Tribolium castaneum: one gene and its partner. The protein of the gene in region 1 binds, or shares a complex with, the protein of each later gene. Links are inferred from orthologs where the notes say so. Each region holds a gene or a part of one and is shown on either strand. Other genes may lie near its edges.

The links.
Region 2: mrn (region 1) and Polr2F share a complex: the UniProt entries of both Homo sapiens proteins name them as parts of the TBP-based Pol II pre-initiation complex. The link is inferred for Tribolium castaneum from reciprocal best matches to the Homo sapiens genes GTF2H4 and POLR2F.

What each region holds. Positions count from the first base shown.
Region 1 is NC_087396.1:20,771,578-20,775,403, forward strand, and holds mrn (general transcription factor IIH subunit 4), read right to left. Parts: upstream 2,899-3,826; 5' UTR 2,776-2,898; intron 2,750-2,775; exon of another isoform or gene 2,719-2,749; 5' UTR 2,699-2,718; coding exon 2,547-2,698; intron 2,502-2,546; coding exon 2,397-2,501; intron 2,348-2,396; coding exon 2,216-2,347; intron 2,164-2,215; coding exon 1,978-2,163; intron 1,930-1,977; coding exon 1,749-1,929; intron 1,692-1,748; coding exon 1,608-1,691; intron 1,516-1,607; coding exon 1,322-1,515; intron 1,271-1,321; coding exon 1,030-1,270; intron 986-1,029; coding exon 842-985; 3' UTR 815-841; downstream 1-814. Other genes in the region: G protein pathway suppressor 2, read right to left, coding at 1-155, 200-510. UniProt on the Homo sapiens protein: Component of the general transcription and DNA repair factor IIH (TFIIH) core complex, which is involved in general and transcription-coupled nucleotide excision repair (NER) of damaged DNA and, when complexed to CAK, in RNA transcription by RNA polymerase II.
Region 2 is NC_087398.1:1,182,092-1,184,255, reverse strand, and holds Polr2F (DNA-directed RNA polymerases I, II, and III subunit RPABC2), read right to left. Parts: upstream 959-2,164; coding exon 563-958; 3' UTR 517-562; downstream 1-516. Other genes in the region: probable ATP-dependent RNA helicase DDX23, read left to right, coding at 1-191, 287-504. UniProt on the Homo sapiens protein: DNA-dependent RNA polymerase catalyzes the transcription of DNA into RNA using the four ribonucleoside triphosphates as substrates.

The DNA of each region.
Region 1 (3,826 bases):
CGGGGGCCGGCTGCGGGCTAGGGCTCCGCGGGCGTTTGACCGCAGTTTTAAACGTTTGTTGCTGGGGCACAGCATTGCGGGGCACACTGGGCGAGATGTACAACGGCTGGTGGTGCACCAGACCCGTCGGGAGGGCTTGAATCGCCAGCACGTCACTAAAAAGTGGTCTTTAAACAATGCAATACTAAAAATGACCCACTTGTTCTCCTTCTGTCGCCTCCTATTATCATCCTCGTTGAGGACTTTTTTCAACTGTAAAAACAACTGGTGTTTCTCCTCTTTCAGTTTCTGGAGCTTGCTCTCAAGCTGTGAGATCTGTTCGCGGGTTTCACCCAAAGTCATGACGTCTTGTTGCTCGCGAGCTTCGCGTTCTTTACGGAGACGTTCCTCTTCCACTTCGGCCTCCCGTTCTTGCTTTTTGCGAGCGCGCTCACGCAGAATGTGCGCTTTGAGCACCTTCCACATCTGCTCGGACCGATCCGGCTTGCTGTTGTCCACAGCGGCAGGCATTTTGCACAAATTACGAATTATTTCGTATTGTTATTTTACAGGAACTGTCAATGTCAACATGACGTTTGACACTTGTCGGCAGGATTGCCAACAATTTATTGGCCAGATTTTAACCAAAATTGGGCGAAAACTCAAATTTTTGACCCGCTTCCACATGTTTTTTTTAGTTTAAGCACTTGGGCCGAAACTCCCAACATTTTGATACGAATTTGTAGCGAAAAACGCCCGTTTCGCGTGAAAACAGAATTGGTTTAGATTGGCGATACTGTTTCATCCGCGAGGGAATTTTAAATGAAACACGATCAGTGGTAAAGTTTTTATTAAATCTAAATTAATTTCCTTTCGAATATCGCTTCCAGAACTTTTTAACATCATCATGTGCCGATTTATTGATGATTAGAGTCCGTTTTTCTTTGTTACACCAAATTAGATGGCCATTAGACTGTGCATACTCTTTCAGTATATTAAAATCAGCCTAAAACACAAATTAAAACCGCGTAACAATTTTTCTTGTAATACCTGTGATAGGAATTGGCTGTATAAAACGCCCTCTGAATACGTTAATCTGTTCCGCTCAATTTCCCACAGTTTGATTTGATCCACAACTGTCGGAGGTAGAGGATGTTTGGCCTCACCTTCCAACATTTGAGGATGTGCATGTTGTTTGAGGTACCCGATAATTTGATCGGCTGTGATTCCCCCTTTCAAAGCCTGTCTTATGGAATCACGTGTTATTACGCCCACTACAAGGTTCGGAAACCTGGGAAAAGTCCGATAGTCATAACATTTTTTTATTTATTTTGTGACCCACCTATACATCAGTTCTGTGAAAAGACCAATTAAAGCAACTTGAAGATTAGAATCCGTGTAAGCATAAACCCTGTAGTTTGTCTCTACAATTATGTAACCTTTTGGAGTGTCTTCCTCCAAAATTCGAGTTTCGGGGCCTTGGCTACACGTAATATTTAAGGCCAATCTGGTCGGGTAAAAACGGCCTGCTTTGCGCTACAAAATTAATTACATTAATCATGGGTGCTGTGGAATGTGACGTCCAGAAAAAAAAATTTGGTAACCATGGTAACGAAAACAAGACCTACTTTTCTTTGATACACTAATCCGAATTCTCTCAAGTGTTGGAGAAAAATTAAAAGGCCGGGACTCATGCCTTCAGTGCTATAATCCTACAAAAAAATGTTGCTATTAAAAAAAAACGCCAAGTGTTATGAGTTATGACATACTTTTCCAAGTGTACTAAATGAGAGTTGGAATAAAAACGTTAAACATTCAACCAGACTTAATCCTCTTTGCTCAACTGTGTCGAGATATTGGAGTAAAAAATGCCAAACTTGTGCTTGCCTATCTAAGAGTAAAAACTGGAAGCCTTGACGTGTTATAACAGGACTGCCATCTTCCTCGTCTCTACATAAATATAAATAAGATAACGAGTCAATTTTGGAGAAATTCAACCTTTTCATAAGCCCAGCGTGTAGTAAAATTCTGACAGCATCCGCAGAAATTCCCTCTTGTTGTTGCGACCCCACCATGTAATGTAACACACATTCCCACCGTTCGAGCGAATAAGCGTCCAAAAAAGACACATCTCTTGCCTTACTGTCAACTTCTAAAGCCGAAGACATGCTCCAAGGTTTGCCCCTTGGGATAAATCACGCAGTCATTGCAATAATCACACTAATTACACTCTCACCCCCCTAATAAGGCAATTTTCAAATTCTTTTTAAACGTAACTGAAAGGATCCAACCTAGGAGCCCCCCTGGAATCGCAGCCTCCTGCCATACCGACAATTCGCTCAAAACCTTACTCACATAAACGTGCTCTCTACAAATAACCCCCCTTTTCGTGTGTACAAGCGCATTTAAACACTCACTTGGAAAAGGCCTGAGCCCCCCATGACGCCACAACTGCCTGGGGCACCGGCTGTTCAACGAACAAAATTCGAATCACGTACTGGCGTGCCAGTTCTGGCAATTCTCTAAAATCGTCAATCGAAATTTGGAATTTTAAAGTGGGTTTTTACCGGTAAACGGCCAAACAAATCGTTGGATGGTTGTAGAGTTTTTCCAACGTTGCCGAAGAGCGCGTTTTTAAGTAGTCGTACAAGTTTTTACATTCTAAGTTTGTTGGTTTCAAAAAAAGCGAGCTGGGTTGCGCGGGCTCGGCGTCTGCCATTTAAACAGCCCCCTTGCAAACTTAAAATTAGGGTTAGGGTAACTACTGTCAACGCAATTGTCAGATTTAAAGCTAACCCAACTTTTCCTCCGAAGGAGTTGTTATTTAATTAACCACTCGCTTCGTCTTAATAAGTGTAGAAAAAACTTGGTTTTCGCTCTGCTTCGAAATGCCAAGTTTTTGGGCATAAAATATTTTGGCTATGTTTTTTTAATTATTCAAACGTTGGGGAATTTGGGTGGCAGGGTTGGTCAAAAATATTACGGTGACGATAGCACTTTGGAAAGAGCTAGCACCATGAAATTTCCAGCGGACCAGTCAAATCACGGATGTGCGTTTTCAGCACTTTGCGACGTTGCTACGTTTCTCACAAATTATAAGAAAATAAATTATTTACTCATTTTCTTTTAAAATTCAAGTGTATTGTTATTAAAAAAAATAAAGTAAATGCAATTTCAAACTTGTTGTATCTTTGAAAGCAATGGGGGATGTAGATAGTTTACTAGTTGACACAAAAAGGTGAAACCGCCTAATAAAGGCAAAACAAAAACGAGGAGGGCATGCTACCCAATTATTTAGGGGGCAGATTCCACCTAAATAAGATAATTATTCGTTAATTTCTTCTTCAAAAACATTATTTGAAAAAAAAAGTTAATAGAACGACATACTAATTCAAACAGAGGGTTAGATGTCTTCCCAAACTTTTAGAGGATTGAAATTTTCAAGAAAGGTAGGTATTTAATGGGCTTTCATGTGGAATGGGTTAAATGCGTCGACAAAAAGAAATAGTACTAGAAAAAAATATTTAATATTATTAATAAAATGTTGACATATTTCAAACTAAGGGTTGGATGTCTTCCCAAACTTTTAGAGGGTTGAAATTTTCAGGAAAGGTAGAGTATTTAATGGGCTTTCATGTGGAATGGGTTAAATGCGTCGACAAAAAGAAATAGTACTAAAAAAAATATTTAATATTATTAATAAAATGTTGACATATTTCAAACTAAGGGTTAGATGTCTTCTTAAACTTTTAGAGGGTTGAAATTTTCAGGAAAGGTAGAGTATTTAATGGGCTTTCATGTGGAATGGGTTAAATGCGTCGACAAAAAGAAATAGTACTAGAAAAAA
Region 2 (2,164 bases), on another chromosome or scaffold:
GTTGGAGAAGTTGGGCTACAATGCGTGTACGCTCCATGGGGGTAAGGGGCAGGAGCAGAGAGAGTACGCACTGGCTAGTCTCAAGTCGGGGGCTAAGGACATTTTGGTGGCCACTGACGTGGCTGGGAGAGGGATTGATATTAAGGATGTTTCCGTTGTTATTAATTACGACATGGCCAAGACTATTGAAGGTAAGATAAGTTTGTCCCAGATTTTTTTTCTTTATGACTAGTGCAAACTGAAGAAAAAAGGAAATCTAATCTGTAATTTGTTTATTTTTTTTCAGATTACACCCATCGTATTGGCCGAACCGGCCGTGCCGGGAAGAGCGGGGTGGCTATCAGTTTTTGCACCAACGACGACTCGGCCCTATTTTACGATTTGAAGCAAATGTTGCTATCGTCACCTGTCTCAACGTGCCCCCCTGAACTAATGAACCACCCTGAATGCCAGATTCGGCCCAATCAGCCGAAACGCCGCCGCGACGAAATGATTTTCGCTTAATTAAAATAAAACTCGATGTTTACTTAGCCTTTATTCTTAAAAACAAAATCTTATTACACTAGTGGTCAATTATTATGAGTTCGTCTATGCCCCAATCCTCGTACGAGTGGTCGGGTAAATAACGCCGGATTATGATGGGGATTTTCCGTTGTTTGAGTTCTTTCATTGCGATTTGAAGCGGGTCTGTCTCTCCGTCTAGTTCCACCATAACTGGGGCACACATGGCGATTTGCAAAGCTCTTGTTCCCAAAACACGAGCTCTTTCGTATTTGGTCATGTATTTGGTTGTTATGCGTTTGTTTTTGGGCACTCCGCCCCCGGCTTGGCCATGAGCGAGGATGTCGATGTTGTCGCCTTCCTCCTCGGGCTGCTCCAGCTCCTCGATGTTGTCGTCATCGACGTCGTCGTCGAAGTCGTCCCCCACGTCATCACCGTCGAATTCTTCGTCATTCATTCTCGATTTCTAGCTAATTGACTAATTTAAAGGCATACACAAACATAGCACAACGTTCAGATGTCAAATGCGTCAAACGTCAAAAGTATTGGTTATTGGAGAGTTGCACGAAAGTGCATCAGTCCGAAACTTGTTATCGGTTCAAACAATACTTTTACTTTAGTGTATTGTTGGTTGCGTCGCAGTTGCGATAAAAACTTTTTTTGATGAAATTTTGATTGTTACGATTTTTTTAAGTTTAGTTAACAATTTGGTGCGAAAAAAATAAAACACATTAAATTCAAGCAACTTTATTGTATAAAATAATTGCATTTGTTCCAGACTTTATAAAATACCGTCTTGTCTATTATAGTGGCGGTCAGCTCGATTTGCGTGTGCGTCAATTTCATTTTTTCATTACCAACACAAAGCTATAAAAATTGTCAAAAACAATGCAAATTTAAACAGCTAAGGGCTATCTAAGGGTGGTATCCTTGAACATTAATTGACATTGACAGTAAATTATAGACGTCGTCGCATCGTTGTCGAAAGTGTGTGTTATCGGTGTTAATCGTAAGTATTTTCTGTTCGTTTATTGTGTTTTGTGATTTGCGTTTCGTTAGGTTTTTGATTCTGCGTTTATTAGTTCTTGTTTTGTGAATCTGTATTTTTTGTAACAACTTCGTAACCTCAAAAAATATTTGATAGTTTGTCACCGCTATGCCCCTGCTGTGTAAACGTAGTGAGAGAAATGTCAGATGACGCACACGCAAATGGAGCTGAGCGCACCATTGCAGTTTTGTCTAGAAATGGTAAAAATAACTGCGATTTATTGCGATGTTTAAATCACAGTGTTTGTCTAGTTAACAAACCATTTTTTGTGGTAGTTTCTAGCGTACGACTGCTTATTGATTAATTGAATAAAACGCAGACGGAGCTCGTCATAAAGCTCAAATAATTAAATAATTGCAAACAAGTTGAGAATTAAAAACCTTAGCCTAGTCATAAGTCGTACAAATTACCCTACTGGGTGTTAAGCGTGTTTGTAATGATAATGATTCATAAAGTACCTAAATCAGGCACTCTAACTACTTTGGTAGTGCGTGTAGATTATCCCTGGAGTGTTTAAGACTAGCTTCAATAAATCTAAAATTGATCAAATCATTAGGCTAAATTGTAAGAACTATTAAACATTTAAAAAATTGGCCCAAGGCCCATCGCTTGGTC